3 linked regions of the Xenopus tropicalis genome follow. The protein of the gene in region 2 purifies or fractionates together with the protein of the main gene of each other region. This does not show direct contact. Links are inferred from orthologs where the notes say so. Each region holds a gene or a part of one and is shown on either strand. Other genes may lie near its edges. The genes, in order: stx6, vti1a and vamp4.

The links.
Region 1: the proteins of vti1a (region 2) and stx6 purify together in Homo sapiens (affinity purification with mass spectrometry; 3 studies listed by BioGRID and IntAct, counting the BioPlex papers as one, with this or other methods). This does not show direct contact. The link is inferred for Xenopus tropicalis from reciprocal best matches to the Homo sapiens genes VTI1A and STX6.
Region 3: the proteins of vti1a (region 2) and vamp4 purify together in Homo sapiens (affinity purification with mass spectrometry; 4 studies listed by BioGRID and IntAct, counting the BioPlex papers as one, with this or other methods). This does not show direct contact. The link is inferred for Xenopus tropicalis from reciprocal best matches to the Homo sapiens genes VTI1A and VAMP4.

What each region holds. Positions count from the first base shown.
Region 1 is NC_030680.2:100,853,808-100,858,060, forward strand, and holds the start of stx6 (syntaxin-6), read left to right. Parts: upstream 1-1,409; 5' UTR 1,410-1,479; coding exon 1,480-1,514; intron 1,515-4,054; coding exon 4,055-4,224; intron 4,225-4,253. UniProt on the Homo sapiens protein: SNARE promoting movement of transport vesicles to target membranes. Targets endosomes to the trans-Golgi network, and may therefore function in retrograde trafficking.
Region 2 is NC_030683.2:3,544,023-3,548,226, forward strand, and holds the start of vti1a (vesicle transport through interaction with t-SNAREs homolog 1A), read right to left. Parts: upstream 2,865-4,204; 5' UTR 2,724-2,864; coding exon 2,630-2,723; intron 256-2,629; coding exon 197-255; intron 1-196. UniProt on the Homo sapiens protein: V-SNARE that mediates vesicle transport pathways through interactions with t-SNAREs on the target membrane. These interactions are proposed to mediate aspects of the specificity of vesicle trafficking and to promote fusion of the lipid bilayers.
Region 3 is NC_030680.2:107,505,457-107,509,105, forward strand, and holds part of vamp4 (vesicle-associated membrane protein 4), read left to right. Parts: intron 1-205; 5' UTR 206-281; coding exon 282-347; intron 348-857; coding exon 858-904; intron 905-3,649. UniProt on the Homo sapiens protein: Involved in the pathway that functions to remove an inhibitor (probably synaptotagmin-4) of calcium-triggered exocytosis during the maturation of secretory granules.

The sequences.
Region 1 (4,253 bases), on a different chromosome or scaffold from region 2:
TTTCCCCCAATATGCCCACCTTGAAGTTGTTGATTCTAGATAGATCCAATTGGATCACAGGATACAGGCCATTGGGACTCATATCCATGAGTCAATGCACTCCTCATCCCGACGGGATTTTTAAACCTGTTTGTAAGCTGCTGACAGCTTTTATCGGCCTGTGTATGGCCACCTTTACTTTAAACTACAGGACTCCTTACATGTCCAACATAAGTAAGTATGTTTCAGGGCATAAAAAAAAGTTTGTGAATTGATAAGGGGCCTTTAGGGTGGGCGTTGCAGAAGACATTGCAGACATTTCCTTCATGGGTATGATGTTTAGTGGAACTGTGTAATCTCAGTTTTATTGTGGCTGAAACCAACATGGGCAACGTTGGTAACGACTGGTAACAGAAACTGAAAACTGTACTGCAGGGACATAACCATAATGGTGCATGGCAATAGAAGTTGGTTTGATGCACTGTAGGAGCAATTTGCTGAGGACAGAAATACATTATTTAGCTGCACCAAGCACTTTAGGAGCAATTGTGGGTGTCATATGTGCTGTGAGCATAGCAAGGAGACTATAACATCTTGCAAGTGCAATACGGCTTGACAATAATGTAAGAACTGTATAGGACTGTGTTATGTAGTTCATTGGATAGACAAATAATTCAGGAGACACTAAGAGATATACTATAGGGCAGGGGTCCTCAGCCATTCTTACTCGTGATCTCAGATACTAAGATCTATGTATGCCATCTTTGAAACCACAGCTGCTCTTTTTCATTTCCAAAACATAAACAAAAGGCTAAGCAACAATATAAATATATACATTTTTCACAAATCTGTATATAATTAAAGTTAAAAGTATTAAGGCAGTTCTGATGGTTCTATAAGAATATCAATAGATGGAAATACTCAAACTCTAATAACTAGCACTGTTACAGAACATATGAGAGCTCTAGAATTCTGTTACAGAGCTCGGTCCCACAAGAGCAGAACGTGCTAAATGAAATGGTTGCTATGGACAATGTGACAATGCTACAGAGCATTCTGTGTAATATAATAGGGCAGAAAAGGTACCTAGCCATGTGGTTGGGAGGCTACATCACAAGCGCAGGTAAAGGCACAGCACCAGCCCTCTCTGGACAGTACAGCTTGTCGCCCCTCCCCCTCCAGTATCTGCACAAATAAGAGAGAAGCTTTGCTTGTTTGCCCTCACCTAAAAGGTTTTGTACGCTCACACTTAGGGACTGGTAACGTGGGTGTAACAACACATTGAGATCTGCGAGATAAACAAAACAATGCATCGTTGTACTGTGATTTCTCCTGTTTCCTGTCAGCTGGTACAGAGAACTGAGTGCCGGATGTGACGCTTTTGACGGGAGGGGCATGCTTTGTGTTCTATGGTACACTGAATAATAGGGAACAAGGAGGCTCTGGGAAGTATCGGTTAACCCTAGGGTAGGCACAGGTAGTGCCAGTGGGAGCGGAAAGATGTCGATGGAAGATCCGTTCTTCGTTGTGAGAGGGTAAGTACAGTCCTGGGGACAATGCTCAGAGATAACGGGACTCGGGCAGGCAGTGAGTATGAATGTGTGGGATGGAGCGCTGTTCTGCTATCCTGCCAGTACAAACATGGCTGCCTGCAATTCTGCTATCAGGGTTGTGGTCAATGTTCCCCATAATTTATTTTAGTCCGTGTGCTCAAAAAATGTATTTTGTGCAACTTTTAAGGACTAGTGTACTAATGTGTGCACTGCATCCTACTCGCATGCATTACATTTTTTTTATTAAATCACCTTACTTTTGCATAGACTGCACAGACACAATGTTCCCAGTGAGTAGACACTTGGATTGTATTTTTAAAGGAGAACTAACCTGAAAAATTCCTGACGGATAGTACAAACATATGCTGGAATAGTTTTATGGTATTTCTCAGCACAAGCTATAAGCAAGCTTAGGGGGCTGTTCCTGCTGAATTGTGCTTAGTACAGGGGAATCCCTATGCTGCCATAGTTTTATATTTTATGGTATTTCTCTGTACAGGCTATTGGCAAACTTAGGGCGTTGTTTTTGCAGAGTTGAACTTCAGAAAGCTGAAATAATAATAATCACTAGCAAGCAACTGTACAGTTTACTTTGATAGATGAGGCTGCATCACAAGCACGGGTAAAAGCACACTGCCAGTACTTGACTGCTACACAGCTCCAGCTCCCCCTTTTCGTTTTTGGAGTGTGGGAATAAACCTGGTAAACATAGAAACTTCACACAGAAAGTGCTTAGCCTTGTTGCCAATATGGTGGTGCATTTTTATGACCCTTTGTGGTATCTATTTACAGTCACACCAGTGGCACATTCTAATGAACCCTAGAGTCATGGCACCTGGCACTGACTGGCCCGCCTGCATGTCTTCTTACCTCACTTGTTTGAACTCTGGAACTTGTTGCATCAGATAGAGCCATGCTGGTTGGCAGGTCACAGTGTGTAGCTGGAGCCCAGCACTTAATTACACACAAGGAGACTAGTAGCTAATACTTGTTAGAAGGTAAACATACTTATCACGTATTGGATAAGTGGGAGGCTAAATACCATCGTATACTATCGTTTATCGCTATTGTATACTTGAAAACATGCTGGGGCCTAGTTTCCATCTTAGGGAGGTGGCAGACAGGATGATTAGTCGCCCGCGATAAAGCTTTGCTACCATGGGCAACTTATGTCCCAAAATGGCATCTCACAGGCAAGGATGTAAATTGCCGGTGGGATGGCATATGCATTGCTTCGGTTTTCCAGTGTCACGGCTACAAAATGCCAGAAAATACCCTACCATAGACAATGCTAAGAACTGTCTCTGCTAAAACACACGAACAGACAGTTATTAATATTGGCTATTTTGTAGCCACTGCAAGTAGCTCCATTGCCAATAGGCTAATGCCACATGGGGGCTGATCTTTGTCTGCAGCCAGAACGATTGCATTTACCCGGGTCCAGGCACACGCAGTGGATATATCGGCGCCCAACCACCCTATAGTTTGCATTTTGCAGTGAATATCCGTCATTCTGACACAATAGTTCTGTGTGCAGGCAAAGAAGAAAGCTAATGTCAGCATTGGGGCTGATTCTTGGCCTGTGCTTTTCTGCAGGCTGAGATCAGCCCGTGTGGCATTACTCTCGTGCCTGAATACACATCACACCAATAGCATTTTAAAAAATCATGGATTAGGCGGAACATTTGGTATGAATATGTGGTACTGAAAAAAATGCATATTTTTCTCGTGTTTTTATGCTGATATCTTCATCATATTCATTCAGAGCTATAATTCCAAGCTACATTCAAACCAACGGGAACATCATTATGTGCTTGAATGGATTCCCAAGAGTTGTCTAGAATTCTGGACTTGCTGCAGTTACACTCGAGAAAAGTTTGTTGCTGTTAATATCTAAAAACAAACAAAAAGCCACAAGCTCTACAACAGTGCCATCCAATTAAATGACGTGGGCCAATTATTTCTTATACAGCATGTTTGAGGACCAGATTAAATTAAAATTATGATGTTGTATAATGAAGTATATGAAACCTTTGAGCTAACTGAGGGTCATATAATCCTTTGGCTAGCGGGCCTCCACTTTTACAGGCCAATTCCTTGGCATTTCTCATACAGGAGAAGAGTTTTCATTGCAATAGACAGAATATCTTTAGATTCAGAGCTTCCATATACTTTGATGTCCTGCCTGGCAATTGTTGACCCCCTAGGCAGTCCCTGTGGTCCCTGCCAAGCATTAAATTAAGTAAGATTCTGTTTTTGCATTGGTTATGCGCATAGTGAATGGTGACAGGGGTGGATCCAGCTGCAAGGAAGCTTAGCCAAGGCTTGTGCAGTGTGTGACTGTTACACATGGAAAAGCGTACACCAATCCTGTGCAAGAGAGAGACACATTACCACAGAATTGTTGGTCTTTATTGCCCTTTGACGGTTTAACACTAATGTTAAAATTCTGAAGAATTACAATGTCGCAGATGACCTACATCTGCTTTTTCCAGTAACTATCACCTGATCTTTTGTTAAAGGGAAGTACAAAAAGCGGTGAACACTGCCCAGGGCCTGTTTCAGCGATGGACAGATCTTTTGCAGGATCCTTCTATTTCTACACGAGAAGAACTGGACTGGACAACCAATGAATTGCGCAACAACCTTAGGAGTATCGAATGGGATCTGGAAGACCTGGATGAAACAATTAATATCCTTTTTACGCTTAGAGTTTTGCTT
Region 2 (4,204 bases):
GGCTCATTATGGTCTGGCAATTATGACCCTTTGGAATTACAGACTCTTTAGCCATTGGGCTCCCCAATATGTAAGTGCTGGGCCCTCTAATAACCTGAGTATTACATGTTCCCTGTATGGATAGGGCCACATTAGCCCAAGTAGGGTCAGATATTATATATATATATATACACACACACACATATATATTACTTACCAGTTCCCGGGCTTCCTCCAGCTGCTTCTCTACATTTAATATCATTTGCTTCTTTTCATCTGGAAATAAAACACAATAAAATAATATTACGTTACAGCCTGATGGAATGAGTGGCAGATATTCCCCCCTGTAGTCTCTGCAGGAATCCTGCCCTAACTGTGCTTAAAGGAGAAGTAAAGCCTAAACAAGGTTAGAGGTACCGCTATGGGCCCAGCCCCGCGCCTCCCCTTCCCTTACTAGATTGTCAGCTTTAGGCAGCAGGTCCCCCTTTATTAGCAGGTACCTGCGCAGGATCTGTATTTATACAGCACGATGCTGGGGATACTGGGGCAGTGTGGGCACTCGCTATATATACACTTTATAGTGATTATACATTATATTTACACTTTGGGAAAACCACAGGGACAGGGGAACTAGGGGCCCTTACCCACTGGGTTCCAGACCTCTTTTATGGGCCAACATTTACATGGGGCCCCCCCTACTCACAGGCTACAGGCCGAGGCAGTATTGGGGCACACAGGGTAATTATAGGGTGGGGCAGAATCAGGTCATCACATTTACACCCCCACCTGCCCTTTCTATCCTCATATCCCCTCCTCTCCCTCCCACACATCCACTTTCCTGCCCCCCCTGTGCCCCCTCCCATGTCTGCCCCCCTGTGCCCCCTCCCATGTCTGACCCCCTGTGCCCCCTCCCATGTCTGACCCCCTGTGCCCCTCCCATGTTGACCCCCTGTGCCCCCTCCCATGTCCTGACCCCTGTGCCCCCTCCCATGTCTGACCCCCTGTGCCCCCTCCCATGTCTGACCCCTGTGCCCCTCCCATGTCTGACCCCCTGTGCCCCTTCCATCTGACCCCCTGTGCCCCCTCCATGTCTGACCCCCTGTGCCCCCCTCCCATGTCTGACCCCTGTGCCCCTTCCCATGTCCTCCCCCTGTGCCCCTCCCATGTCTGCCCCCCTGTGCCCCCTCCCATGTCTGACCCCCTGTGCCCCCTCCCATGTTCTGACCCCCCTGTGCCCCTTCCATGTCTGACCCCCTGTGCCCCCCTCCTCATGTCTGACCCCCTGTGCCCCTTCCCATGTCTGACCCCCTGTGCCCCTTCCCATGTCTGACCCCTGTGCCCCTCCCATGTCTGACCCCTGTGCCCCTTCCCATGTCTGACCCCCTGTGCCCCCTCCCATGTCTGACCCATGTCTGACCCCCTGTGCCCATGTCTGCCCCCTCCCATGTCATGTCTGCCCCCCCTGTGCCCCTCCCTGCCCCCTGTGCCCCTTCCCATGTCTGACCCCCTGTGCCCCTCCCAGTCTGACCCCCTGTGCCCCCTCATGTGACCCCTGTGCCCCCCTGTGCCCCTCCCATGTCTGACCCCGTGCCCCTCCCATGTCTGACCCCTGTGCCCCTCCCATGTCTGACCCCCTGTGCCCCTTCCCTGTCTGACCCCTGTGCCCCTTCCATGTCTGACCCCCTGTGCCCCCTCCCATGTCTGACCCCCTGTGCCCCTTCCATGTCTGACCCCCTGTGCCCCCTCCCATGTCTGACCCCTGTGCCCATGTCTGACCCCTGTGCCCCCATGTCTGCCCCTATGTCTGTGTGCCCCCCCATGTGCCCCCTGTGCCCAACCCCTGTGCGTCTGACCCCTGCCCTCCCATGTCTGTGCCCACCCCTGTGCCCCTTCCATGTCTGACCCCCTGTGCCCCCTCCCATGTCTGACCCCCTGTGCCCCCTCCCATGTCTGCCCCCCTGCCCATGTCTGACCCCTGTGGTCTGCCCCCCTGTTGCCCCCTCCCATGTCTGACCCCTGTGCCCCTTCCCATGTCTGACCCCTGTGCCCCCTCCCATGTCTGACCCCCTGTGCCCATGTCTCCCCCCTGTGCCCCTCCCATGTCTGACCCCCTGTGCCCCCTTCCATGTCTGACCCCCTGTGCCCCCTCCCATGTCCCCCCCCTCCCATGTCTGCCCCCCTGTGCCCCTCCCATGTCTGACCCCTGTGCCCCTCCCATGTCTGACCCCCTGTGCCCCTCCATGTCTGACCCCTCTGTGCCCCCCTGCTGACCCCTGTGCCCATGTCTGACCCCCTGTGCCCCCTCCCATGTCTGCCCCCCTGTGCCCCTTCCCATGTCTGCCCCCTGTGCCCCCCATGTCTGCCCCCTGTGCCCCTCCCATGCCCCCTGTGCCCCTGTCCCCCCCTGTGCCCCCTCCCATGTCTGCCCCTGTGCCCCTCCCATGTCTGACCCCCTGTGCCCCTCCCATTGTCTGACCCCCTGTGCCCCCTCCATGTCTGACCCCTGTGCCCCTCCCATGTCTGACCCCCTGTGGCCCCCTCCCATGTCTCCCCACTAGCTTCCCGCCCCTGACACTTGTTATTCCCCCCCCCATACCCGCCCCTTGCCCCCCATACCCCACTCTCTTGCCCCCACCCCCGCCCCTCTCACCTCCCATGAGCCTGGGAACCTTCCCTATCCTGCCGGTAATCTCGGCGGTGAGCACCGCATAATCCTGCTCGTAACCCTCGAAGTCGGAAGACATGTTTAGCCAAAACAGTGGAGAGCTGATAACCGGAAGTCTTTTTTCCAACCACTTCCGCCGGTCCGAACCTTCAGCACTCCCCCGCGCCCTTAGCAACCAGCACTTCCTGGGTAACAGACCCGCCCCTGGGAGGAGCCTGTGTCACCACTTTATCATTGAGTGGGATCCGTCCCTCAGTGAGACCACGCCTTCCGGGGCGGGGCTTTCGTATTTACACGCTGTGTGGCTGAGATCTGCCGTCTATCAAGCTATGTCCCGCCCCTGGGAGGAGCCCAATGAGCCTTCCGCCCCTCCTTCTGCCCTTACACTTAGTGACTGGGGCAAATCCACCTGTTCTGCCCCAATACTGAGCCCCTAATGGGGGAAAGTCTTACCTTCAGCAGGTTCCCCGGCCCAGCACTTATTTACCTTCATTCCACCATGTCCTGAGGCTGCGGCCCAGTGATTGCAAGCTCTTTAGCCCAGCAAAGGCAATAATTAAGTCTTTATTATAAAATGTTAAATTTACAGTACAAAACTGCGGAATAGACTGTTGCTCAGGGCTGGGTTATAGGGTGAGGGCGTTTGTCCCCAGGATTGTCTGCATGGCGGAAGCAGCCCCCTGACTGTCAGTCATCTACAACTCCCAGCAACTCCCTGCCCCCTCCCAGCAACTCCCCGCCCCCTCCGCACTCCCCCCCCTCCCAGCCTCCCAGCCCTCCCAGCATCCCCGCCGCCCTCCCAGCAACTCCCCGCCCTCCCAGCAACTCCCAGCAACCCTCCAGCAGCAACTCCTGCCTCCCAGCAACTCCCCACCCCTCCCAGCAACTCCCAGCACCCTCCCAGCAACTCCCCGCCCCCTCCCAGCAACTCCCAGCCTCCCAGCAACTCCCTGCCCCCTCCCAGCAACTCCCAGCACCTCCCAGCAACTCCCCCCCCTCCCAGCAACTCCCCGCCCCTCCCAGCAATCCCACCCTCCAGCAACTTCCCGCACCCTCCCAGCAACTCCTCCCTCCCGCAACTCCAGCACCCTCCCAGCAACTCCCCGCCCCTCCCAGCAACTCCCCGCAGCCAGCAACTCCCGCACCTCCCAGCAACTCCCAGCACCCTCCCAGCAACTCCCAGCACCCTCCCAGCAACTCCCCGCCCCCTCCCAGCAACTCCCCGCACCCTCCCAGCAACTCCCCACCTCCCAGCAACTCCCCACACCTCCAGCAACTCCCCGCACCCTCCCAGCACCTCCCCACAACTCCCAACAGTCACATCTCTGAACTTTGTTACCTCCGACCATTTCCTCAGCACTCCCGGAGCCCCAACAATTCCCACAGCGCTGGGGCTTTATATATAAATGGGACTCAAACAGTGAAATGTCATCAATAAATCTGCAGTACTGTACAGTGCAGTACCATTCTATCTGCCCCTTGCCATTCCCATTCATAGCCCCACCATTCTATCTGCCCCATTCCCATTCCCATTCATACCCCCACCATCCCCATCTGCCC
Region 3 (3,649 bases), on a different chromosome or scaffold from region 2:
TGGGCACATTTCAATCTATAGGGAGAGTTTGGGGTGCTTTGGAGCTGTGTTGGGGCTCCTTACAAAAGCATTGTTCAAAACACCTAAAACAGCCCCTTGTGCCATTAGACTTAATAGTATAAACTATAGTATAGTTATATAGTATAGTTCTAGTTTGATTTTCTAATAACATCTTTTTTTTTCTCTCTCTCTTTCTACTGCAAAGGCTGACTGCTATACAAATACATTGCCCTCACTGATCATTGTCATAAAACACAAATTCACATCAAAGGAAACCCAGTATGCCTCCAAAGTTCAAGAGGCACCTCCACGATGAGGAGGTTACAGGTTCAGTTAAAAGTGAAAGGGTAAGTCTTTTTTTTTATATTCAATGTTGTCTATCACGTAGAATGCTCAGCTTGTTTTCCAAGTCACGTTAATAGAAAATAGTGTATATACTGAATTTAATTGACCAGGGCTACAAAGAGATGATGTTTCCATTGGCAAACAGAAAAAAGCAGAGTTCAGTCAGTGTTTAGGCTGGTGGTGGGCAGGCAGACTTATTGGTGGGTGAACCACATAACATCACAGATGATGGTTTTTCTAAGAGGAAACTGTCAGCTCAAGTCACCAACCAAATGAATGCAACTGATGGTCCATTAAATTGCAGTCACTTACAAAAGTGTGCATCCCCTTCAATGGGCTAAAGAATGATGGCTTCCTCAAAAGCAAGGCATGAATCCATTCTTGATGGGGAAAATCAGAAATCCTATATTTTGTTAGAGAGTTTATTTTGACTTTGAAAGATGGTTTCCAATACATCTATATCATTGTTTTTATTAGAGTAGAAATTTCTAATCCTTTTTTTTTATTTTCAGAGGAATCTGTTGGAAGAAGACTCAGATGAAGAAGAAGATTTCTTCCTGTAAGTTTTTTTTTATGGTCTTATAAATATATATAATTACAATTACAGCACAAATCTTGTAAACTAAAAAGTAACATGTCATATATATATCTCAGATTTGTTTCCTGGCATTGGCCAGTGTTCCAGTGATGAGGCAATTCTGCAAGCCAGTATGCTGGATACAATTTTCAAATACATGACAGTAGTGTTTTTGGGGGTATTTTGACAGAGAAAAAAAACATATAGGGCATAATCTACTAGTATCTTGTTTGTGTCCTGTGAGTTGATTGTCACTGTGTCACAATGGAGTATAATTAATCAATATGCAACAAAAAAATATGAATTCATTATCACCGTTTTTATTTATTCCCAATATATTAAGTTGGATTCATTCGTAGGGATGCATCGAATCCAGGATTCAGTTTGGGATTCAGCCAAATCCACGCTCCTGGCCAAACCAAATTCGAATCCTAAAAACCATGTGACTTTTTGTCACGTAAACACGTTTACGTTTACTGTGCAAACCTAATTTGCATATGCACATTTGGATTTGGTTTGGTATTTGGCCGAATCTTTTACGAAGGATTCGGGGTTCGGCTGAATTCGAATAAAATGGATTGGGTGCATCTCTAATTATTAGGCATATGGTACTAGTCAGGAATGATAGATTAGTAATATCACAGTAACCCCTATATCTAAACTGGGAAGTGATGCAGTGATTTGTGGCAATTCCAGGTACATTACAATCTTTTACATCTACAATCTTTTAGTATACTACATCAACAAGGACACTCGGATTTGTGTAATTTTAGAGGTTTTTTTTCAACCTTGACTAAACTCACATTTTTAAAAATAAAGATCCCTTATTTATTAAAAAAAAATCTAAAAACAAAAACGTGGATTAAATAGGAATACAAAAGAAATACAATTTGATAAGGACAACTCCCATTGACTTCAATATGACCATGCCAGCTTTTAGATCGCAAAGTTTTTCATGGTTTTATACTTGATAAATAATAAAAAAAAAAATCAGTGTTCTAGAGTAATTATCTTTGTAAGTAGAACTGGTTTTAAAGGGGTTGTTCGCCTTTAAATTAACTTTTAGTATGATGTAGAGCAGGGATTCCCAAACCTTTCTTGCTTGTGAGCCACAGTCAAATGTTAAAAGACTTGGAGAAAAGTTCATGGAGGAGCCAAATAAGGGCTAAGATTGGCTATTAGGGGCCTCTATGCACACTATCAGCTTACAGGGGGCTTTATTTGGTAGGAAATATTGTTTTTATTTAACCAAAACTTGCCCCCAAGTCAGGAATTTAAAAATAACTACCTGGTTTGGGGGTGCAGAGAGCAACATCCAAGGGGTTGGGGAGCAACATGTGACCCCTGAGCCACTGGTTGGGGATCACTGATGTAGAGGATGCTACTCTGAGACAATTTGCAATTGGTCTTGCAAGTTTTTATTATTTGTGTTTTTTTTAATTATTTCGTGTTTTGTTCAGCGGCTTTCCAGTTTGGGAATTTCAGCAGCTATCTGGTTGCTATGGTCCAATTTAACCCAGCAACCAGACAGTGGTTTGAAAGAGGAATATGAATCGAAGAGGGCCTAAATAAAAAAATAAGTTATAAATTACAAAGTAAAGTAACAATAGAAATAAAATTGTAGCCTCACAGATGAATAGCTTTTTGATTTTAAAAGTTGGAAAGAGTTAGAAGAGGAAAGCAAATCATTCAAAGGCTATAAAAAATGAAGATAAATTGAAAAGTTGCTAAGAATAGGCCATTCTATAACATACTAAAAGTTAACCTGAAAGTGAACCACCCCTTTGAGGAAAATGTGTGTTCAGTTGACCCTACCCATACCGTTACTGTAATGGAGCATACATTTAAGTAATACATCCTGGAACAAAATCCAAAAAAGGCGTGGGAGGAAAAAGCAAAACAAATGAAAGCTTACACATAGCCGAGTCATGTCGGCATCTAAGTCTGTGAAGGTAAATAATTTGTTTATGGGAAGTGGGTGCTAGTGGGGCTCTCCTTACAGTGTGTGCAGGACAAAAAGTCTGTCTTAAGAAGACGAAGATCCATAAAGCATTTTTGTGGCTGGTAAAGGTAGTTGCAATTTAAACCGGTGTTTTGTCCTGTTCTTTTTTTTTTTTTATCCCTTTTTGATCCCTGAGTATGCTTTTTAAAATAATGTAACAGGTCTTTCTCATCTGGTCTTTTAGTCAGCTGCCTTTCAAAGTTGTGTAGATTTAGAGCCCCCACTGCAGAGAATATAAACAGCCAGGCAGCAAGATACAATATTTAATAACAGTAACATTCACAAGTAGTTTTTCTAATTGAATGTATACTGGAAAGTTGCTTAGAATTATATTTTCTTTCACTATTCATTTTGAGTTGACAACCCCTTTAATTTGCTCTGATGTGTCTGACATGATGCAAAAACCACATTGAGGATAAATCACCATAACCTCTAGAAATATTTCATACCCTGTTCAGTGAGATCTATTAGAATGTCGTCATGGTGTTTTATTGCTTACAATGGGTGACTGTCATGAAAAGTTTTAAAAGATTGCCAAAGATTAATAAACCATATTCTTTGTGTGTGTGTTTTTTTTAAATGGAAATGCTGTCACTTTTATTCATATTCCATATTAAAATTCAAGTACAAAAGTTGATTAAATTATCAGACCGGTTGGGGCTAGTGCTAATTATCTGGTATGTTTTTTAGATTATACAAATTTGTCCAAGTGCTTGTATAATACG